Elephas maximus indicus: one gene and its partners. The protein of the gene in region 1 interacts with the protein of each later gene in a pairwise test. Links are inferred from orthologs where the notes say so. Each region holds a gene or a part of one and is shown on either strand. Other genes may lie near its edges.

Region 1 (7,719 bases):
TCCAAATGAAGGTAAAGGACGTGTTGATTCCTTCTGAGGCCCTGAAAGAGCAACTGTTCTACCTATATCTCTCTCCTGGCTTCTCGCCTGATAAGAAAACCAAACCCATGCTGTTGATTCTGACTCATAGTGACCCTATAGGACAGGGAAGAATTGCCACATAGGGTTTCTGAGACTGTAAAACTTTATGGAAGCAAACTGCCATGTCTTTCTCCCATGGAGTAGATGGTGGGTTCAAACTGCTGAACTTTCGGTTCGTAGCTGAGTGCTTAACCACTGCGACACCAGGTCTAGCCCATCCAGTGCCCTCAAGTCGATAGCAGCTGTCTGCAATCCTTGGTGTTCCTAGGCGTGTAGATTCATCTGCCTCCATCGTCACATGGCCACCCTCTTCTGTGTATTGTTGGGGAAAATAATTAAAAACAAAATCTGCTCCCAAACCAGAAAACCTCTCCACAAAAGCAGAAGAGAAAGAAAACAGTTTTCTTATTGCATAAACCCTAAACCAGAACACAGTGGCAGTCTGCTAAAGAGATTGCAAAGACAGAAAGGAACCTGAACCTTATATAGGCAAGCAGATGCAACCCATTACATACGTGCTCTCCAGATAAAGGATAAGAAGCTTGACAACACCGTTTATCTCAGATTCACCTGGTTATAAGGGTAGCCACCAGCGTTTGTTAATGGCCAAAGGAAAAATAAGCTGTTGATATCTTTATAACAGAAGGTAGTTTTAGAGCTTGAAGCCCACCAAAGTTAGGCTTTTACCCTCCCACAGAACTTGAGGGCCAGAGGAGCTACTTCCTTACTAATTACATTTGAAAAAGATGGCTCCCAGCTCCCTCAGGAAACATCCCGGGGTTGTAAAACTGGCAGGAAGATTATCTAGCCATTCAGGAGGACTTCTCAAGAGGCAAAGAATTTACAACTACAAGACATCTAAAGTAAATGCTCAAAAAAACAGGGAAGGGGAGGTCTTGTCTTTTTTGCATCAGGGAATATTATGTATACTTATTTTTTTCTCTTCAATTTGCATTTACCCTTATAGTATCTCTCTGTGTCTGCTCTGCTGTTTTCATAAGACACCATTCAAAGGAGATTAGGATTCAGAATCCTACTCCCGTGTGACCACCTATTTCCAAATAGGGTTATATTCACAGGTACAGGAGTCTGGTCTTCAACATATCTTTTGGGGGGGAGGACACAATTCTATCCATAACACATGGCAACAGATAACTAACGCAAGGAGGTACTATTACAATCCTCATTTTGCAGATGCAGAAACTAAGGCTTAGCTACCTGTCCAGGTCACACAGTTAAGAAATGAAAAAGCCAGGATTGGTAGCCAGGTGACATGACTGAGAGCCCATGTGTTTAAGCACTACACTCATAGCCTCCTGATGAAACTGTCTACGAAGAGAGTTTAATTATTTACAAGAATTAGGTATTTAATCCTCATACACTGTCATTGGAAGTATAACTTGGTACTGACATTTTGGACAGCAACTTGGTAATATCTATCAAAAGGCGCAAACCCTTTTACCTTGCAATTTTACTTCTAGAATACTTATTTATAGAAGTACATAGATGCACAGAGATTTATGAGAATGAATGATTATTGTGCATTTTTTTAAAGGCAAATAACTGGAAGTAACACATACGCCTGCTAATAGGGGATTTGGTTAAATCATGATACACCATGCAGTGAAATAATATGTACCTATTAAAAAGAATGAGGTAGATACATATTTAGGGAAGTAGGAAGATAAATATTGATATCTGTAATAGGCAGACTTCTAAGATGGCTCCAAGATTCCTGATCCCTGGTTTATGCACACTTATCTCGGGTGATCCCCTCGCCGTCAAGTCAATTCGGACTCATAGCAACTCTATAGGTATGTAGGGTTGCTATGAATCAGAATTGACTTGATGGCAATGAGTTTGGTTTTTGAAACCCTGGTGACATAGTGGTTAAGAGCTACAGCTGCTAACCAAGAAGGTCGGCAGTTTGAATCCACCAGGCACTCCTTGGAAACTCTATGGGGCAGTTCTACTCTGTCCTACAAGGATGCTATGAGTCAGAATCGACTCAATGGCAACAGGCCTTTTTTTTTTCCTCTCAGGTACTCACTCAAATACTAATCTAGGTGCTGCTATGAAGGGACTTTGCTGATGTAATTAAGTGCCCATGGAGTCCCTAGGTGGTGCAAACAGTTAAGCACTTGACTACTAGCCAAAAGATTGGTGGTTTGAATCCACCCTGATGTCAGGCTGATACCTCATGGTGAGTCTTTCTGGCCTGGCCAATCCCTACCCAAGAGTCACCTCACTAGCATAAACTCTCAGGTGTAATCTGTAGCCTTACAGATAAAAGAAACTTCAATCACTGGGAAGATTCCAAGGTTTTATAGATTATCTTTAGGGACCAACCGCAAAGAACAAATTCTTTAAGTAAACTTAATTTCCTTAACCCACGGCAATGATTTAAAATAATGGACAATTCAGAACACCATTTATTTTTGGCTTTTGATAATGAAATTATGGGGGAGGAGCATGTATTTTACCTTCCTCATTTTCTTCTACGTACACTAATACAAAAACTCATAATATGGATCCCTGAAAGGCATAAACCCAAGAGAGTTCTTGACCCAACAAATGTTTAATCAATCTGTTAAAAAGTGCCAGTAGCTTGGCTGGACATTGGAAAATCAAAGATAAACAAAGACCCCTGTTCGACTTGTGTGCCACTACTCTGCTCATTTTTGGAAGAATTATCCCATTTAATCCTTACAACAATCCTAGGAGGTAGAACTACCGTCTCTATTTTACTGGAGCAGAAATTGAGGTTTAGAGAGTATCTTAGTCATCTAGTGCTGCTCTAATAGATACACCACAAATGGATGTCTTTAACAAAGGGAAATTTATTCTCTCACTGTCCAGTAGGCTACAAGTCCAAATTCAGGTCATCAGCTCCAGGGGAAGGCTTTCTCTCTGTCAGCTCTGGAGGAAGGTCCTTGTCATCAATGTTCCCTTGGTCTGGGAGCATCTCAGTGCAGGAACCTCAGGTCCAAAGGACGTGTTCTGCTCCTGGCATGGGTATGAGGTCCCCATGTGTCTCTGCTTACTTTTCTCTCTTATATCTCAAAAGAGAATGGCTTAAGACACTATCTAATCCTGCATATCTCATCAATATAACTGCCACTAATCCATTTTATTACATCATAGTGACAGGATTTACAACACATAGGAAAATCACATCAGATGATAAAATGGTAGACAATCATGGAATCATACAAGGGAATCAAGACCTAGCACAGTTGACAGATATTTTGGGGGGACACAATTCAATCCATGTCAGAGAGCTAGAAGGGAAACCAGGCAGCTCCTGGGCTTAACTTGCAGGCCACACTGTGATTAAGTGCCACTGATTTATTTTCAAATCTGGAACTCTTGATATATTGATATTTGGAATCACTTGCCTTCTTTTTATATAAAACATAATAGGTGTATGTTACCTTAGAAATGGTATAAAAAGAAAGGCAAATATATAATGAATCTTAAAATGATGGGCACATTTAGGGAAAAAATCTGTCATGGGAAGAGTTTAGCCATGTTATTAAATCTTCCCAGAAGGGTTACTGTATCTGTTAAAAGCATGTGCAGATACAAGTGTGCACATGGGACTAGTGAGGGAGCAGAGAAAGCATGGAGTCAAGGAGAAACAACCTCCTCAGCCTAGGATAGCAGGTCTCAAGTGCAGATATCCCTGCCTTTTCTGCTTTTATTCAAGGGGATACACAGCCTTGGCATTTTAACTATATGATTAAATGGTTATTATATTGATAATAACTTTTTGTTGTCCTTCTAATGCACACATTCTACTGTGTCGTCGTCTTAGTGTTAACTTCTCTTTGGGGTCTGGGGGTGGCAGCCTTCACGGCCAGTCAGAGTCTTGTAAGTATGGGTTTGCAAGATCTGGCCTCAGATTTCTCTGTTTACTGTTGATCACAGGAAGGTCATATTTGAGGATGTGGGTGGCTGATGATAAATCCAGCCCCACTAACTGCAAAACGACTGAAAGATTCCCCTTCAGATAGGCGGATCTTTCCAAAGAAAAAATAGCACTATGTCCCCACATAGTTGAGGGGAGGAGATGCCTGTGGACCTTGGGCCTCTTTGGGTGCCACGCCTGTGACCCACCAGAGGGGGAGGGCAGGAAGGAACAGCTTTTACACCATTTTTAAAAAGAAGTTTAAGATGTCTCAAAACTGGACCCTCTCTTTTGTGAACAGGGGAAGGTGATGGGAAAAGCTTTCCCTGCAGGTGGGGGAAGAGGGACCCCCAGCAGCAGCGGAAGCTCAGAGATGAGGCCGGTATTTGGAGAAAAGGGCACCGTGATCGGACTCTCCTTCCCGGTCTCGCTTCTCGGCAAACCCTTGTCCCGGACCCCACAGTCTCGTCCCTTCACCGAGCAGGAAAGGGGGCTGGGGAAAGCAAGAGCCCTGGCCTCCTACCCACCCGTTCCCGCCACGATCCTGTGGGAACCGAGGCTGCGGACGCAGAGCCTCAGCACCAGGCCGGGAGGGGGTCCGCCCCCAGCACAAGGCCAAGGCCCGCGGCGGCGGCCTCGCGCGCGTCCACATGTGGCAGGCCCGCCGGGGGGTGGCGGGGAGCCGAGGGGGAGGGTTTACTTCACGGCGAAGTTCCCGGATGGTCGCAGCCTCCGGGCGCTGAGCGCTTTTCCTCCCGCCTGGCTCAGCCCTCGCGGACCGGGGGAGAGGTTTCCCGGAAAAAATGCCCGGCGCGCTGCGGGGCAGGGGAGCCGCCCGGAGCCGCTGCGCGGTAAGGACGCGCCGCCACCGCCGGGGGCGGGGTTCCGGGGTCTCGGATAGCCCCAGGGGGACCCCGCGGCCGCCGGGGCGGGCCGGCTCGACGGCGGGGCTCTGTAGCGCCGTGCGGCACGCAGTGGCGCGGGGCGGGGGCGCGGGCCGTCGAGGCGGGGTCCCTGCGGGCGGCGGGCGCACGGGGCCCGCTCAGTCTCCCGGCCTCGGGAGGGAGGGGCGCCATTCCCGGCCGGCGCCTCCTGCAGGCCCGGCGGGTTGTCCGGGGAGGAGGGCTCCAGACGTGGTACCGCGGGCGGGGCGCCCCCTGAGCCCGCGGACCTCGGCCGCAGCAGTTACTTAGCCGGGATGCGCAGGACCCGCATCTGCACCCCGCCCGGGCGGGCGGGGACTTTCGGGCGTCCCCGGGGCCAGTTCACGCGCTGGAGCCGTCGTCCTCGCGGTGGGAATCGCGGCTTCTCGGCGCTCGGCTCCCAAACTGGCCTCCCGCCGGGTGCTCTGGGACAGCCGGCTCCGCGGGTCGGCGCAGACGCGCACCATCTATGTGTCGGTTGACTGGAGGCGCTTCCAGTTCCTGGCATAGTTTTCGCCAGGCCTGTGCCGAACCCTCGGGACAGCTTCACCTCAGTCTCGCTCCCGTACCTCTCGATATTAACATCCTTTTCTTCTTCCTTTTTTTTTTTTTTTTTAAATAACAGTTAAAAAGAGTTGCAGGTTTAAGAGAAACCAGCTAGCCTCGGTCGGGGGTAGACTTTGAACTCTTTGAGATTAACAAAGGGTGTGTCTGTGTGAGGAATTTTTGGTCCTACTTTTTATTCCATGAATAGTCCCTCTGGGACCACGGGCTCATTGCCCTGAGTTCCCTGGGAAGCCTCTCGAGTTGTCAGCAGTGACTGGGTGGACTTGGGTCTCTTTTTCTGAAAGCGCGTCTCAGTTCGCCCGCCCCCCCCCATCCCACCCCCGGATCTTCACTGGACGCCTCATCCTCAGACTCAGGCTAGTGGCAGCTGCAGAGCCAGGACAGATTCCCCACCCTGACTGGGTTTTCTTTTACCGGTTTCCCAAACCAGAAAACAATACTGTAGCTTCATTTTCAGTCGTTGGCTTTTTTTTTTTTTTTTTGCCCACCTCGAAAGCACCCATTTCTATAACGGATAAAATAACTCCCTAAAAATTTCCTATTTCACTTCGTAAATCTTTTTTTTAAACGGATTTAAAAAATTGTGGTAAATTTTACATAACATTAAATTAACTATTTTAAAATGTACAAATCAGTGGCATTTAATACTCTCACAATGTCGTGCTAAAAAAAAAAAAAATGTTGTGCTACCATTTTGGAAATCACCCTTTGACTTTTTGAGGTGAGAGAACCCTGAGCAGGCTATCAGCACCTTGCATCTTAATCCCTCCTTACGCTGCCTCCCACTGTTGCCGTGTATTTGCCTGCCTGTCATCCCCACAAGGTTGAGTTTCTCAGGGACGGGGTGTGATGTTATTCTCCAAATCCCCAGCTACCTCTGTGTTATATGTTGAATGGAAGTGTGCAGAGTAGAACCTGCAGGTGTTAGTAAAAATTGTCTTCCTCCCCTGGATCTACCCAACCCCTGCCATAATAATTTTGGCTCCCGGAGAAGCACACGAACTTTCAGACTGTGATATAGAGGAAAGAAATTTGTAAGCAAAGTACAGATCTAATCCTGGGACGTTTAGAGAGAATGAGATCACTTCCAGCTTGGTGTGGGGATGGGGGGGATTGATGTCTTCTTTCACTTGTTTGTTCATTTCACAAATTGTCTCCTGTGTGCTCAACCATTCCCTGGTGCTCCTAGGCATATCATGCAAGTTGAGCCTCAATTATCTCTTCCAAAAAGTGGGGTTGATAACCTTTGCTCTTCCTCCATTAAAGGGTGTGAGGAACAAATGAGATAATGGGTGTAAAACAGCAAAAAGTGCCAGCACGAGGCCACCCAGACACCATACAGTGTGGGGCACCAAGACTTAAGAGTGTTAATGAGCTAAAAGGTGGTGGGAGTGAAGAGAAGGTGGTATTTATTGTCTCAGTTGCTCTGGTAAGGGACGAACCCATTTTTGTGGGCAGTATTACATACTGGGTTTGTGTCACTGTCTTTGGTGTTCCAAGGTGTTCCTGGCTGTTGTAATTTTAGGTACATATGTGGTGTTCTGGGTTGAATTGTGTCCCCCCAAAACATGTGCTGTAAATCCTAACCTCTATGCCTATGGTTGTAATCCCATTTGGGAATGGGTTGTCTTTGTTATGTTAACAAGGCAGGATTGGTGTAGAGCGTGTTTTGAGTCAATCTCTTTTGAGATATAAAAGAGATTAAACAAGCAAGGGAAAGAAGTGGAGACGGGAGAAGAGATGCCAAACCACATGAAGATTGCCCAGGAGCAGAAGCTCAGAAGAGACAAGGACCTTCCTCCAGAGCTGACAGAGAAGAGCAAGCCTTCCCCTAGAGCTGGTGCCCTAAATTCAGACTTCTAGTCTTCAAAACTGTGAGAAGATAAATTTTTGTTTGTTAAAGCCACTCACTTGTGGTATTTCTGTTACAGCAGCACTAGGTAACTAAGACATGTGGCATCTACAGTGCACATCAGAAAGTTAATAATAAACAAAAGTGCATTTTATTTCTTGTGATTATCAGTTGCCATTTTTTTTTTTTTTATTGAGTCAGCCCTGAATCATGGTGACCCCATGCAGAACAGAACAGAACTGCCTGGTCCTGCCCCATCCTCATGATTGGTTGTAGATCAGACCATCGTGGTCCATAGGGTTTTCACTGTCTAATTTTTGGGAGTAGACCCCAGGCCTTTCTTCCTAGTCCACCATAATCAGGAAGTTCTGCCAAATCCAGTTCAG
Region 2 (7,964 bases), on another chromosome or scaffold:
AGTCACCCACCCAGCTCCTGTGAGAACACTCAGCAGCCCACGTAGGCTGCAACCAAACAAGAACACAGCCCCCGGATCCCCTTGGTGCCACCATCCCTGTGGCCTCCCCTCTTTGTTCCCCAGCTGTTCCTTCCAGGCCACAGAAGGAGAAGGGTAAGTGCAGACAGGTGGCAAGGAGGCAGCAGGCTGCTCTGCTCAAGGGCCGGGAGCTTCCTGTGGCTGCTGAGGCTCTACTGAGGTTCAGGACCTCTGCAACAGTTGGGGAAACTGAGGCTCAGAGAAAAGTCATAAGAGCTGAAACCCTACCCGGCGCCTACAGTGTAAATTCAATCATGTCCCTCTTTTCCCTCTTCGGCTCCAAAACCTCCCATGGCTCCCCAGTGCCCTCGGAATGAAACCCACACACTTGCCCACGGTCCACAAGACCCTGCCTAGCCCTTGTAACTCGCCTGTCCCCTTATTGTCCCCCACCACTCTCACTCTAGCAGAGCCAGCCTTCCTGCTGTTCCTCCAACACACCGAGTCTGTTGCCGTCTCAGGACCTTTGCACAGGCTATGCCCTCTGCTGGGAGCACCCTTTGTGAGTTATTATCCATGTCCAGGGATATGAGGCAAGTCGGTGGGAGTTGAGATTTGCAACCAGAGCCTCCTGACTCCCCCAGCCAATAGTGTCACATCTAAAACAGGCCTCCAGACTGGTCCGCTGGGAGCTGGCTGATCCTCAGCCCCTCCAGGCCCCATCACCAAAGACCCCCATCCGCACTGCTTAGGGAGCTCTGAGACCCACCCAACACCACATCCCCCAGCATCTACGATCTCTTTGCCCCACTTTCTGCCCTTCATATGGGAGGGTGGTGGAGCCTTCAAGGACAAGGCAGCCAAAAATAATCGGCCGACCTACCTCCCCAAAGTGGGACAGCCCCGCCCCACCACCTGGCGCCCCCGAAGTAATTAGCGCGTGTGGCAAATGAGGGTAATTAGGTTTTCCGGAAGTGAGCTGCAGAGCCTGGCTTGGTGCTTGAAGTGGTCTCGACTCCTTCCTCCCCGCCCTCTGCCTTGCCCTGGTGTTGGGCCCTTAAGTCCACAGCCCAGGGCCAGCACACTTTATCTGGGAAGCCTCCAGACTCTAGACTGTCCCCTGCATACCCGGCCCCTTCGTGGCTGGGCCTGAGCAGGCCTGGCTCCATTGTTTGCTGGGGGCTGTTTGTCAAAGTTGAGTTGGATTTGAATTTAAGGTGGGGTCACCATAAAGTGACAAAAAATCACCAACATTAGTGAGTCATCAAATTCTCCTCCACCCTGAACCCCATGTGTCTACCCTGTGCTGGAAGAAGCCAAGTCCTAGGGAAGCCTCAGTCCCGTCTGAGCCTCGGGGAGCCCTCAGGCTGGGGGAGTCAGAGCTGGGCACAGACACTGCAAGCTCCCTGGGGTCAGGGTGGACCAGAAGGAGAGAGAGGACTGGAGAGGGTCTGGAGGGAGAGGAGTGAGTAGAGGGTATTGGAGGTGGGGCTTTGAGGGATGAATAGGTGTTTGCCAGGAAGAGACGGTCTGAAGGCTGGTCCAACTGGCTGTGCCTAGGAGGGTGGTGAGAAGGAAAAGTGGAGAGCCTTGAGGGACACACAAGGGGCTAGGAGCTAAAGATTTAGAGGATCCTAGAGGATTTAGACTAGGTCTCTGGACGACACAAACAGCTTGCCCTCGTCTACTAATCTAAAGGTTGGTGGTTCTAACCCAACTTGCAGCACCCCAGAAGAAAGGCCTGGCAACTAGCTTCTCTAAAGATTACAGCCAAGAAAATCCTATGGAGCTCAGTTCTACTCTGTAACACATGAGGTCACCATGAGTCAGAATTGACTCAACGGCAACAGGTTTGGCTTGGACCAATTTCCTGTCCTCTAGAGCTCACATCTGCTTGGGGCCCTTCAACCTCTGAAAGAGAAAATGTTAAGAACTTGGCTCCGGATCAAAAACCGCACACCCAGACAGCCAGGAATATAATGATTCAAACAGCAAGTATTCATTGAGCACATAGAGTCAGCCCTCTTCATATAAGAATTCACTGGATCTTTATAGCAAGCTTCAAAAGAGGGTATCATTCTTATATCCATTTTACAGATGGGAAACTGAGGCACAGCAAGGGAGAGTGACTCCTTCCTGGTCACACTGTTGGTAAGAACCGGGGCTGCAATTCACTCCCTGGCCCTGGACTCTGGAGGCCCCTGAGGTCCAAGGTTAGGGCCTGGGAATCCCTTCGGCAAGCATTTCTGAAGGTCCTGCTACAGGTCAGGCTTGATCTGGGTGTTGCGACAAAGCCATGGAAGAGGTAGACAGTAACCAAATCATGCCGTAAACAGATTTAAAGTGGCCACTGTGAACCAAGCCATGAGGTTGTATACACGGCCTGGGGGAAGCGTTACATCCCCTCACATCCCCTGTCTGTCAGGAAGGCAACCTCTTCAGGGAAAAGAGATGATTTAGCTTCAGTCTGAAGGTTAGGTTGGATTTAACTAGGCAGGGACAGGGTCTGACCCATAAAAGTCACTCTACAAATGGCAACTTCCACAGAGCCAAGCAAACTAGTCTGGCCACTGCTTGATTTCTCCTGTGACAGGAAACTCATTCCCTCACTCCTTTCCTCAGCCTGAAAGGAAAGCTTTTAGTTATCCTCCCTGGGGTGGTGGCCCACAAAGACATGCCCAGTCCGTTGGAAGAGAGGTCCCAAGGCTTAGGCAGAGGAGGGCTCAGGCTGAAGTGGGGTCAGCAATTCAGGGCAGCCCCCTGCCCATCTATACCCACAGAAGGGTAAGGAGCTGCTGGTTCACCTGGATCCTCTCTACTACCTCCTCCCTGAGCCCTGTAAGCATTAGCCCATTCTCCAAGTGAGAAAACTGAGGCCTACACTGAGAAAGCCACTTCCTCCATGTGGACCTGGTGGAGACACCTTCAGGTTAGGGCTGCTCAAGGCACACCAAGTTCCAGGTACTCCTGGAGCCCCTAGAGGAGGCCCAGGGAAGCCATGTAACTCCCTCCTCCTTGTCACACTGTTGCTTTCTGCCCACACCCACACAAGGAGCAACTTCGGCCTGGGCCTCTCGCCCAACTGCCCCCACAGAATGGATCATGTGGTCCTGGTTCTGCAGCCAGCCAGCCCCTTGGCAAACCCTCAGTGGCTTCAAGGAGCCTCAGCCTGGCCAGAACCTTTCCCATTTATTTATTTATTTTATTATTTTTTTTGGTAATAAGGAAAAAGTCACTCTTTGCACAGAACAGACGGTATTTTCTTTGTTCCCCACAGATCTCGCGCCTTTCGTGGCATCAGGCCTGAGAGCCAAGCCAAGTACTTTGCTTGTTCAGATGCCTCATGAAGTTAGAAGCAGCTGGGGGAGACAGAGTTTGCACCTCGGTTTCCCCAACTCCGGTGAGCAGTCCCTCCAGTGCTGAGTGAGGCAGGGGCTGCAGGGGGGACTGGTCCTCAAGGAAAACTCACACCTGGGCCCCACTGATATAAACAGGTAACTTGGCTCAGATCACAGGAAATGGATGGTGGGTTGGGAGGAAAAATAAGGTCCCTTCCAAGCCCAGGATATTCAGAGAAGCTTCTCTGAGGAGGGGGCAGTAGAGTTGAGCCAGGAAGGACCAGGCAGAATTATGCTACAGGGAGGGTCTTCTGGGTGGAGGGAACAGCTTGGGCAAAGGCCCAGAGGGAGGGGGATTCTGATCTTGGGCTGGGAATGTCTTCAGAAGCAACAAGTCCTGGTATTCAATTATTCACCTAACGGTCTTTGAAGGTAGCTGGCAGCTACCTTCACGACCCATGCCATGAGGCTGAACACACAGCTTGGGGGAAGGTAACCTCCCCTGATTGTTCTTGGGGAAAGGAAATGAAAAAAACAGGGAAAAGAGATGAGAGCACTCCAAGGCCTTGGCAGATCAAAAGTCAGAACCTCTGAGGGTGTTGGAAAACTCACGTGTTAGGTTTGGAGCTTCAGGGAACCCAGGACTTGCTCTGAGTCCAGTGCCTCTGCCCACCCACCAAATGTCCCTTTGCAACAGGACTAACCAGTGAGCCCCACCGGCAGGCTGGGGCTAGCTCAGCCACCCCAAAAAGACCTGCTTGTCACAGCTGCAGGAAGGGGGAGGCACCTTGAGCTCAGAGAGTGCAAACCCAGGGCTGCCACCTGGACACTGACAGTCCCTCCACCCTGGACCTCGGACCCTATAACAACAGCAGTAATTATCATGATCCCCAGTTTATGGGGTTGTCTTTGGGGAATCAGAGGCAGACACGCCCAGGCCAGAGGGATCAGGGCTCGGGGAAGAGCAGGCAGGATCCTGAGCAGGTGCCCCAGGCCAACCCCATTAAGCGCCTACTGTTTGCCTCTCTCTCTTTGTCCCCCTTCCACTTCTTCTGGTCCAGATGTCTTAATTTCCCAGCAACACTCAGGCATCCCCAAGGTGGGTAGACCTGCCCCTGCCTCAGGACCTTATGGAGTGACCTGACAGGGGGGACCTGACCGGGAGGGACCTAACCCCCATCCCAAGCCTAAGGTCATGACCCGGGGCAACCAGGGCAGCTGGCAGCAGTGACTTGGAGGGTTAGGGTGGGCCCCCAAGTGGTGACTGGAGGCCACAGTCTCTGTTCGTCTCTTCCTCTGTGTCCTTCTGTGTCTCTGCCTATCTCTCTACCTCTGGGTGTCCTTGTCATCCCAGATGTCTGTTGCCGTCTGTCTGTCTGTCCCACCCCCGACCCGCGCCCAGCTCCTCTCTCTGCTCCTCGCCCCCTCCCTGGGTTTCCCCCCATCACCCCTGCCTACCGGCGCACTGGGCCGCCAGCAGGGGCGCTGCGGGGAGCTCACGGGCCGGGAGGCGGGGCGGGCGGCTGCCGCGTCGGGACCGGCTGCGATGGGACCGGAGGCGGCGCAGGCGGCGGCGGCGCGCAGACAAAGGCGCGGGCGGCGGGCAGGCCCGGAGCGAGGCAGCGGCGCCCGGCCGGCCCTGCGCGGAGTTGGTGCCGCCGGGCCGCACCCGACTCGCGCCCGGACACTCGGCGGCCGACCCGGCAGGGTGAGCCCCGCGAGACCGACCGGGGTGGGGACATAAGACCGTGAAGCTTCGGGGTCGGGAGGGGTGCAGGGTGTCCCCAAAGTCGAGGTCGAGAGATGGCGAAGGGGGCTGCGAAGTTCTGGACCCGGGATGGAGGGATGCAACGCGGCGGTCCTCTAAGTTCCGGACTCGAAACTGGGGGGCGACGCGGGGTCCTTGAAGTTCCGGACTCTAGGTCACCGACTGATGGAGGTCCCCGAAGTTCCAAACTCAGAATAGCAGGTTGTCCCCGGGATCCCCGAAGTTCCAAGGTCGGCGCGTTCTGAAGTTAGGGCGCACACGGGGTGCCCCGCTCCTGGCACGAGTGGGGACCCCGGTCCTAGCTGAATACCAGGCCTCCTGGGCTGGGGTGCGCGGAGTGGGGCCTCTCCTGCGGCAGGATTGGGGATCCCCGGTCACCAGGCAGGGTCGGGCCCCTCGGGGAGCCCGGCGCAGGCGGCTGGCGTCCTAGGTGCGTGACTCGGACATGAGTAACTTTGCCTGAACGCCACAAGTCAAGGCAAGAGCTACCGCGCTGGATGCGCCTGAGTTCAGAGGACTCCGGCGTTTCCCAACTTGGCCGGCCCTGGACCCGCCCCCAGCCCCGGCCAGAACGGCCGCCCCTCCCCCAGCCCAGGGACTCGGGTTTCAGACCTGTGACCGGGACAGCAGCTGCCCATGACGGGTGGAGGGGGGCACCCCCGCTCTGACCACAGAGACCGCTGGGTCAGGCTCCCCTCCCCCCGCAACTTCCCCATCCTTGGCCTCTCCCAGGTCCCCTCAGACCCCCTGGTTGCAGGTTTGGAGCTGCAGGAGGGGCATCAGGAGGTCTCCTTCCAGGCTGCTTGTCCTGGCTTCTGTAGGGTGGTGGCTAGAGGAACCTACTAAGAGGCTGGGGAGCCCAATCTCCTCTATCTGGAGTCCACCCTGCACCTAGGGTGGACCTGTGTGGCTACATCTTATCCTTCTGATGGAGTGGTGGTCTCTCCGGGGATTTGGACTCTGACTCCTAGTGGTGCCACTGCCCCAGGGTCAGAGCTGGGGATCCCTCATGGGTCCAGCAGGGTCTGGCCTCCCACTTGGCACCTGGGCTTGGCCCACTTTTTGCTGGTACACCCTGGTTTGAGACGTGCTGGATGCATCTGGTGGAAAGTAGTTTCCCCTCAGCCTGGGATTGCGGGGGCTCACAGGATATCTCCAGTGACCAGGATGGTGGGGGGTTCATGATGGGATACCAGGAATGCTGAGAGGAGACCTGCTGTCCTCCCCGGGCCCCTCAGGCTCCACTACATCTGACTTCCCCTAGAGAGGCGTCTCCTGCCACACATGATGTGGGGGTTCCCTGAGATGGGGTTGTTGTTACTGTTAGTTGCCATTGTGTGGATTCTGACGCACGGGACCCACATGTGCAGAGTACAACTGTGCTCCGTAGAGTTTTCAAGGCTGTGACCTTTTGGAAGTAGATATGAAATAAACCCAAACCCACTGCTCTTGGGTCGATTCTGACTCATAGCAACAATATAGGACAAAGTAGAACTGCCCCATAGGGTTTCCAAAGAATGTCTGGTGGATTCGAACTGCCAGGCTTTGGGTTAGCAGCTGTAGCTCTTAACCACTATGCCACCAGGGTTTCCTGGAAGTAGATAGCCAGGCCTTATTTCTGAGGCGCCTCTGGGTAGGTTTGAACTGCCAACCTTTTGGTTAGCAGTCCAGTGCTTAACCCTTTGAACCAGCAGCTCCTGCCCCTCCTCTGGCCACCCCTTGGAGCCTGCCCAGCCCAGCCTGACCAATGTCCACAACCAGGTGAGCACCCCCTCTACCCCGATCCCCAGCCTTCCCTTGTGCAGCTCCACCCCGCTGAATGCCCTCTTCCTCCAGGGAGCAGCCCATCTTCAGCACACGAGCTCACGTATTCCAGATTGACCCAGCCACCAAGCGGAACTGGATCCCCGCGGGCAAGCACGCCCTCACCGTCTCCTACTTCTACGATGCCACCCGCAATGTCTACCGCATCATCAGCATCGGGGGTGCCAAGGTGAGGCGGATCTAGGGGTAGGGAGCACCAGGGGTCCCTGCTGTGTGCCCCCTGGCAGGGGGTAGCCTGCATCTTCCTAGGCTGCAGTCTCCCCTCCTGAAAGAGCTCAGAGCAAAGCCTCCGAGCCCTCCTCCAAAGTGATGCTCAGAGCTTTTCATGTTTGTTATTATCGGTCCCTTGAACTTTGCCCCCCAGGCCATCATCAACAGCACTGTCACCCCCAACATGACCTTCACGAAAACTTCCCAGAAGTTCGGGCAATGGGCAGACAGTCGTGCCAATACAGTCTACGGCCTTGGCTTTGCATCTGAACAGCATCTGACCCAGGTAGGTCTGTGGGAAGGGACTGGGAGGACAGGATGGGCCTGGGACTTTTCCTGGGTGAAGTGGGCACTTGGGACAGTTCCAAATGGGCACATGGAATTGGACCAGCCTGAACACCTTCCAGGTCCCTGAATGGTACAGATGATTTGCACTGGACTAACCCTGGTTGTGCAGTGGTTAAGCACTCAGCTGCTAACTGAAAGGTCAGCGGTTCAAACCCACCAGCACCTCTTCGGGAGAAAGACCTGGCAATCTGAGATTAGTTAGATCTTAGAGTCCTAAGATTATGGTTTAGGAAACCCTATGGGGCAGTCGTACTCTCTTCTATAGGGTTGCTATAAGTCAGAATCAACGGACGGCACACAACAACAACACTAATTCAAAGGTTGACAGTTTGTATTCACCCAGTGGTGCCTTGGAAGAAAGGCCTGGAAACCTGCTTTTGTAAAGATTACACCCAAGAAAACCCTACAGAGCAATACTACTCTGTCATGTATGGGGTCACCATGAGTCAGAATCGACT
Region 3 (7,912 bases), on another chromosome or scaffold:
CGTTTGTTTTATGGGCCTGTCTAATCTTTGGCTGAAGGGTGAACCTCAGGAGTGCCTTCAGTGCTGAGTTAAAAAGGTGTCCAAGGGTTAAATCTTTTCTTGAGATGGTCTTTAAATTCAAGTGGGATATATTCAAGATTGTACTTTGGCTATCATGGACTTGTTTTAATTTTCTTTGACTTTTAATTGAACTTGCATATGAGCAATTGATGGTCTGTTCTGCAGTTAGCTCCTGGCCTTGCTCTGACTGATACTGAGCTTCTCTATTGTCTCTTTCCACAGATGTAGTCAATTTGATTCTTGTGTATTCCCTCTGGGAAGGTTCATGCGTATAGTCACCATTTATATTGTTGAAAAAAATCTATTTCCAATGAATAGGTAATTGGTCTTGCACAGTTCTGTCATGCAATCTCTGGCATCATTTCTATCATGAAGGCCATGTTTTCCAACTACCAATCCTTCTTTGTTTCCAATTTTGTTTCCAGTAATTATCAATGCATCTTGATTGCATATTTGATCAATTTTAGATTGCAGAAGTTGGTAAAAATCTTCATTTACTTCATCTTTGGCATTAGTGGTTGGTGCATAAATGTGAATAATAGTCATATTAACAGGTCTTCCTTATAGGCATATGGAGGTTATCCTATCACTGACTGTGTTGTACTTCATGATAGATCTTGAAATGTTCTTTTTGACAATGAATGTGATGCCATTCCTCTCCAGTTTGTCATTACCAGTATATTTTTAGACCATATGATTTCTGATTTGAATGGCCAATACCGGTCCATTTCAGCTCACTGATGCCTAGGATATCTATCTTCAAGCATTTCATTTCATTTTTGACAACTTCCAATTTTTCTAGATTCGTACTTTATATATTCCACGTTCAGGTTATTAATGGTTGTTTCAGCTCTTTCTTCTCATTTTGAGTTGTGCCACATCAGCAAATGAAGGTCTCAAAAGCTTGACTCCATCCACGTCATTAAGGTCAACTCTACTTGGAGGAGGTAGCTCTTCTCTGGCGGTATTTCGAGTGCCTTCCGACCTGAGGGGTTCATCTTTTGGCACTATATCAGTGTTCTGCTGCGATTCATAAGGTTTTCACAGATCAATTTTTTAGAAGTCGATTGCCATGTCCTTCCTCCTAGTCTGCCTTAGTCTGGAAGTTCTGCCGAAATTTCTGCATCGTGGGTGACCCTGCTGGTATTTGAACTACTGATGGCATAGCTTCCAGCATCACAGCAACAGGCAAGCCACCACAGTACAACAAACTGACAAAATGAGTGGTGGATGAGAACCTTAGGGTAGGTTATTTTTAATCAAGACTGACCATCCAAGAAGTGAGGTCTCTGTGGCTAGAGGAGCCTAAAGAAAGGAGGGAAAACCCACAGAAATTAGCTGGTCCAGGCCAGGCTGGGGGTCACAACCTCTTCAGAGTAACGCTCTAATTTCTGAGCCCTGGCTTGAGTGGACGGAGTGCACCGATACCAGGTGAGCAACTACCTACTGTGTCCAGATACTTGGTTTTCATATTTATTTAGTAAAACATCTCATTTCTCATTTACAGCTGCCTGATGAGGTATGTTTTAGGAATGAAGAAGCTTAAGTTCAAGGACATTAGATAACTCTCCCAAGGTCATATAGCTGACACGCACGATAAGGATTCTGCGTTTCTGGCGGTTCTGAAGTCCATGCTTCTTCTACAGTACTACAAGTGCAAGGTAACGGACAAGGACCAGCCTTGGGGAGTGGTATCCTCAGTCAGCCTGGTGGGGCAGTCCATGGGTACTGGGTTCCGGGGTGCCTTCTGGCGTCCACTCCAACAATGGAGTAGGCCGCGGTAGGAGCCAGCAAAGCTATAGGGTCCAACCTCCCCAGAGCCTTCATTACTGCATCTCGAACAGGGCGCTCTGAGGTGCTCCAGCTGACTTTTTTCTGAAGGGACAAATGCCCGGTTGCTGGTAAGGGAGGGGTCGATCCAGCCACCGCCCAAACCTCTGGGGACCAGCGCAACCCCCAAGCCAGCCCCGCTCGGGCCCCTTAGCCACCCTCCTTCCTGGGCAGCCGGCCAAGCCCTCCGTGGGGCGCGAGGAGGGGGCGGGGCCGCGCCCGTCCGCGGACTACAACTCCCACAATGCGCCGGCCGCCCGGGAAGGAGGGCGCCTGCAGGTGCCTGCGGCCTCGGCGCCTGCGCCCGGAAGTGCCCGCGGGCCGACATGGAGCTGGCGGGGCTGGGCGGTGAGTACCGCGCGGGCCCGCTCCCGCCCCGCCCCGCCCGGGATCGCTGTGCCCTCAGCGGCTTGGGGGCGGGAAGATGGGAGGTGGATGGAGGAGCCGGGGGTGGGAGGGTGAGGTGTCGCCTTCCCCGGGCCGGGTCTGGGGTCGGCTGCGGCGTAGGCTCGGAGAGGCTCCCGGGGACGCGCGGAGTCGGCCCGCCGCGGGCTGGGGTGGGCGTGGGTCGGGGGGGCCGAGGAGGGTGGCGGGTGGCAAACCCCGGAGGCTGCCGCTTGCTTGGGGGCGGAGCTTGACGTTTGATGTGGGGGAGTTTAGGAAGCTGTTGGGGTTTGGCTGAATGGCAACGGGGGGCGCATAGAGGCCTTTCCGCCCCCTTGAAGAAACTTTAGCGACGGAGGAGTAGATAAGCTGTGGGGTGAAGTAGAGGGTGGAGTAGATAAGCTGTGGGGTGAAGCTTGGTGGGCGTTGACTTTAGGGGAGGAGTTCCTTAGAAGACCGGGGTCCTTACCTTGGGATGGGGTTTGAGTGAATTAGGGACCTGGCTAAAGAGATTTAGAACTCAGGTTACCTGAAGTTAGGACTTTCGATTTGGTGGTGGAGCGGGACACCTTGAAAAACACCTTGGGGAGTTTGTGGCGACCGGGAGTCCAAACAGTCTGTTCCGCGGGATGTGGCTTGGGTACAGGGGGCAGAGGAGTAAGGGCTATGGGAGAGCTGGAGTGCGTTCAGAGGGCTCTTGGCCAGAGAGCCAGCCTCTCATGGATTCTTTGTGCCTCTCCAGCTCGGTAGCGCAGCGGGCAAGGTGGGTGCCATGGCCCTGATTGAAGGGGTGGGTGACGAGGTGACCATCCTTTTTGCGGTGCTTGCCTGCCTCCTGGTGCTGGCCCTTGCCTGGGTCTCAACACACACTGCCGAGAGGGCCGACCCACTGCCCCAGCCGTCAGGGACCCCAACTTCAGCACAGCCGAGCAAAGCCGTGGTAGCTACCGATAGCATCAGAGGGGCGGCCCCCGGAGCTGAGGCCCCCAGCCTGAGACACAGAGGTCCAGCTGCACAGCCAGAGCCGGGCACAGGCATCCCAGGAACACCGCCACCACCAGACTCCCCACAGGAGCCCCTTGTGCTTCGGCTGAAATTCCTCAATGATTCAGAGCAGGTGGCCAGGGCATGGCCCCAGGACACCATCGGCTCCTTGAAAAGGTAAGCTGGGCCACAGCGGGGTGATGATCTGAGCAAAATGCTAAAGAATGTGGTGGGAGTGGTCACAGACCCGGGTGGGCCACCAGAGACATCCCCCTTACCTTAAAATGAAGGAACCAAGGTCCATAAGTTACATGCTGGTCCAGTCCTTGTCCCCTGGTAGCAGACCGCCCCCACTGAGGCTAGATCTGGTGGTGGGGTGTGGGGCAGAGAGGGGGGGCAGGGTTTTGTTCTAGGGCAGGGACCAGGATTGGCTGAGGCCTGCTCTCTTACCCAGGGCCCTCTCTCCTCAGGACCCATTTTCCTGGCCGGGAACAGCAGGTTCGACTCATTTACCAAGGGCAACTTCTAGGAGACGATTCCCAGACCCTGGGCAGCCTTCACCTCCCTCCCAGCTGTGTTCTCCACTGCCACGTGTCCACACGGGCCGGTCCCCCACATCCCCCCTGCCCACCGGGATCAGAGCCAGGCCCCTCCGGGCTGGAAATAGGCAGCCTGCTGCTGCCCCTGCTGCTTCTGCTGCTGCTACTGCTCTGGTACTGCCAGATCCAGTACCGGCCCTTCTTTCCGCTGACCGCCACACTGGGCCTAGCCGGCTTCACTCTGCTTCTCAGTCTCCTGGCCTTTGCCATGTATCGCCCATAGTCCCTCCACGGGCAGTGGGCAGCACTGCCAACCCCTCTGGACCTTGCTCCCCACGACGGAGTGGGAGCTGCTGTCTGCCCAGGCCTGCTTCTCCGGCCTGCCTCTTCCCTCTGTCCTGGAGCACAGACCCTCGCCGCCGAGGACTCCGGGGGCCAGCAGAGGCCCTTCCCTGTGACCTCCATGGCACCGAGCCCCCTCCTGGAGCTGCTGGCCCTCAGCTCCCACTGACAGTGGGCTCCTCGGGGTCAGGCAGCTGCTGTCGCTGCCTAGGCCCTGGACAGAGTCGGGCAACCCCACTGGGCCCATTTTAGTGCTCTGCTCTGGAAGAGGAGGACCTAGTCACCTCCAGTCCCTGATACTCCTTCGTCTGACCTGGGGACTCAGGGACTGCGACGCTTGTGGAGGGGAGCGGGAGCAGCAGATGGTGGTTTTCTGGAACACGTGCAGATTAAAAAGCTGAAGTTTTCACTCTCGCTGTGCCTGGGTGTGTGGGGCCCATGGCTGTGGGGCTGTGGGGCTGTGGGTCAGGGAGCCCTGGCCTACTGGGAGGAAAGGGAGTGAAGGACATGCAGTGGGCCCCGGCACAGCTCCACTTCTTCAAGCCGACAGGTGTCTCTCCTCTGCCCTGCCCTTCTCTGCCCCTTTTGCGCCTGCCGTCCTGGCCCCGCCTCTCGCCGGGCCCCGCCCCCGCGCCGCGCGCGCAGCTTCCGGGAGCCGGGGGCGGGGCTCGAGGCGCCCGGGCGCGCAGGGCCTGACGGGAGCCACGTCCTTGCGGTCTGAGGACCTAGCTGGGATTGGCGACCGGGGCGGCGGTGCTGGGGCTGCTGGGAAGATGGCGGACTCGGCAGCCCGCGGATGAGGAGGCCGCGGGGGGAGCCCGGCTCCCGGGCCCCGAGACCGACTGAGGGAGCGATCTGCGCGGGGCCTGGGGAGCCATGTAGGGGTGGCGCCTGTTAGGGTGGGACGAGGGAGCGGGGCGGGATTCGTGTTTGCAGCCGTGACGGTGGTCTCCCGAGGCCTGGGTGGGCGTGCGGGCCCTGACGTTTCCAACTCGGCGCCACTGCAAAGCTGGGCACTCGGGCTCCACAGGCGCCCCGCCAGGTGGGCGCTGCATTCTCATTTCACAGGTAAGGAGACTTAGGTAGAGAGACGAAGCCATTTGCCCAAGGTCACATAGCTGGTAAGCGGGAGCGCCTAGCATGGAACCCAGGACCATCCGACTGCAAAGCCCGCGCGTTCCACCCTCTGTGCCGCCGTCGCCTCCGTCGGGGGGACGTGTGGACGGGCTGACCAGGGCTCCAGACTGGGCGCGACCACCAACCCGATATATGACCTCGGGGGTAAGCCTGTTGTCTCTCTCGGCCGTGGTCTCTTCATCTGTGAAATCGCGAAGATAGTGGCAGCCCTGCTTAGCTCGTAGGCTTGTAAGGAGGATCAGAGGAGATGACGCATGTGAAAGTGCTTTGTAAATGGCACTGCTTTGAGAGCACTACCCGGTTTCGCAGGAGTAAGAGGGGCGGGGTGGGGAAGACTTAGAGCAGTCAACACTGAAGGGTGGCCAGGAGTCTGGGTCTGGGCCACTCTGCGCCAGGTCCCTCTGGATGGGGAGTGAGGTAAGGAGTAGATAGCAGATCTTTCTCCCCTTCGGAGAAAACCTCACCCCCTTTTTTGGGCCGCCCCTCAGGGTCTCCATCACCCAACTCCATGCTTCGAGTCCTGCTTTCTGCCCAGGCCTCCTCTGCTCGGCTCTCTGGTCTGCTGCTTCTCCCACCATTACAGCCCTGCTGTCTGGGGCCCAGCAAGTGGGGGGACCGGCCATCTGGAGGAGGCCCCCATGCGGGTCCCGTGCAGGGGCTGCAGCGGCTTCTGGAACAGGCGAGGAGCCCTGGGGAGCTACTACGCTGGCTGGGCCAGAACCCCACCAAGGTGCGCGCCCACCACTACCCTGTGGCGCTCCGTCGTTTGGGCCAGCTCTTGGGGCCTCGGCCAGGACCCCCTCCTGTGGAGCAGGTCACACTGCAGGACTTGAGTCAGCTCATCATCCGAAACTGTCCCTCCTTTGACATTGACACCATCCATGTGTGTCTGCACCTTGCAGTCTTACTTGGTGAGGAGAGGCTTGAGGAGGATGTCTCTGGTGGGTGGGTGAGGGGGAGTTAACGGAAAAGTAGAGGACCCAAGATTAAGACAGAATTAACCTTCTAGGCTTTTTGCCCAGGAATGGCAAATACCCTGGCACACTGGCTGCTGCTTTCCCTTCTCTATCCACATGGATGTCAGGAGTCAAACAGCATTCTTTCCAGCTTGGGGGGCACCACCTAGATTCCCTTTAATGTAGTGCTCTAGTAAGCCACTAAAATTTGTCATAATTGCATGAGATGAGAACTTGTTTGCCCTTTTTGTATAAGAGCTTCCCGCACAGGCTGTACTAACATGTTTCCATGGTGTTTTACATCCCTCCAGGAGCCCTGGTGGTGCAGTGATTAAGAGTTCAGGCTGCTAACCAAAAGGTTGGCCGTTAGAATCCACCAGATGCTCTTCGGAAACCCTATGGGGCAGTTCTGCTCTATCCTGTAGGGTCACTATGAGTCAGAATCGACTTGACGGCAATGGGTTTGGTTTTTTTGGTTTAGTGTTTCCGCTTAAACTATAGCAACCATCCAGATCAGGAAATGGAGATGAGAAAGGGGAATCCACTAACTTAACCCCAGGATTAGGACAGAGCAGAACCCTATTCCACGACTGCCTCCTCTGAACCTCTCCCTCAGGCTTTCCGTCAGATGGGCCCTTGGTGACTGCCCTGGAGCAGGAGCGAAAGTTCCGTCTCCCCCCAAAGCCACCTCCCCCTCTGCAGCCTGTCCTTCGTGGTGGGCAGAGGTTGGAAGCTGCTCTGAGCTGCCCCCATTTCCTGCGGCATCCACAGCAGCATCTGATCCACAGCCTGGCAGGTGCTGGACGGGGGAGTTAAAGGCAGGTGGGATGGGGAGGTGGCGGGGGTCGGGGGGTAAGGGCTGAGGAGGCGGAGACAGTGATGGCGTTGTCTGGGCTGAGTAGGAACATAGCTGATTGGAGGTCTGGCCTGAGAGTCCAGCGTGATAGGCTGTTCTTCACAGAGGCAAGGCCAGAGGAACTAACTCCTCACGTAATGGTGCTCCTGGCCCAGCACCTGGCTCGGCACCGGTTGCGGGAGCCCCAGCTTCTGGAAGCCATTGCCCACTTCCTGGTGGTCCAGGAAGCCCAGCTCAACAGCAAGGTGGGATTGCCTCCCACCCTTTCCTGCTCCTCTCACTGTGGTCATTCTCAGCCACTATCAGGCCAGCTCTGCCCAGCCCCGTCCAGATTTATTGCCCTTTTTTCCTACAGCCAGTTTACCCCCACTAGGCTGCTCTGCTCAATGCCCTGGAGCTTCCACCTTGGCTCACACCCTTTCCTTGGCCTGTCTGACTTAGCGTAAGCACCAGAGTGCTCAGTGCTTCGCAGTTTTTCAAAGCACTCAACACCATCTTGACTTCATTGATCCCGCTCCTTTGAAGTCATCAGGGTCAGACCCCACAGTGATTTTTCTCTCTGGTGATTAATCATATGGGACTCAAGAAACTGCTTATACTCTTAATTTATACTCTTAACTTCTGGTGTGTTATGTTGGGGGCAGAGGCATGGGGTCTGCCTCCACAACTACGTTATAAGCTTGAGGACCAAGGCTCCCTAAATTTCAGTTCATAAAAGACACTGGGTAACTGCGGCTGTGTAAAGCACTGCTTTTCCTCAACAGGTGGTACAGAAGTTGGTCCTGCCCTTTGGGCGGCTGAACTACTTGCCTCTGGAACAACAG

Evidence for each region.
Region 2: the proteins of WIPF1 (region 1) and HOMER3 interact in binary tests that used the Homo sapiens proteins (3 or more experiments, as listed by UniProt). The two-hybrid records come from large-scale screens. The link is inferred for Elephas maximus indicus from reciprocal best matches to the Homo sapiens genes WIPF1 and HOMER3.
Region 3: the proteins of WIPF1 (region 1) and FASTK interact in binary tests that used the Homo sapiens proteins (3 or more experiments, as listed by UniProt). The two-hybrid records come from large-scale screens. The link is inferred for Elephas maximus indicus from reciprocal best matches to the Homo sapiens genes WIPF1 and FASTK.

What each region holds. Positions count from the first base shown.
Region 1 is NC_064824.1:72,796,448-72,804,166, reverse strand, and holds the start of WIPF1 (WAS/WASL-interacting protein family member 1), read left to right. Parts: upstream 1-4,674; 5' UTR 4,675-4,842; intron 4,843-7,719. UniProt on the Homo sapiens protein: Plays a role in the reorganization of the actin cytoskeleton. Contributes with NCK1 and GRB2 in the recruitment and activation of WASL.
Region 2 is NC_064821.1:38,794,704-38,802,667, reverse strand, and holds the start of HOMER3 (homer protein homolog 3), read left to right. Parts: upstream 1-4,959; 5' UTR 4,960-5,064; intron 5,065-6,815; 5' UTR 6,816-6,871; coding exon 6,872-6,885; intron 6,886-6,960; coding exon 6,961-7,117; intron 7,118-7,312; coding exon 7,313-7,444; intron 7,445-7,964. UniProt on the Homo sapiens protein: Postsynaptic density scaffolding protein. Binds and cross-links cytoplasmic regions of GRM1, GRM5, ITPR1, DNM3, RYR1, RYR2, SHANK1 and SHANK3.
Region 3 is NC_064838.1:12,133,326-12,141,237, forward strand, and holds the start of FASTK (fas-activated serine/threonine kinase), read left to right. Parts: upstream 1-4,831; 5' UTR 4,832-4,935; coding exon 4,936-5,017; intron 5,018-5,113; exon of another isoform or gene 5,114-5,764; coding exon 5,765-6,187; intron 6,188-6,848; coding exon 6,849-7,028; intron 7,029-7,193; coding exon 7,194-7,333; intron 7,334-7,852; coding exon 7,853-7,912. Other genes in the region: TMUB1 (transmembrane and ubiquitin-like domain-containing protein 1), read left to right, coding at 3,047-3,435, 3,729-4,080. UniProt on the Homo sapiens protein: Phosphorylates the splicing regulator TIA1, thereby promoting the inclusion of FAS exon 6, which leads to an mRNA encoding a pro-apoptotic form of the receptor.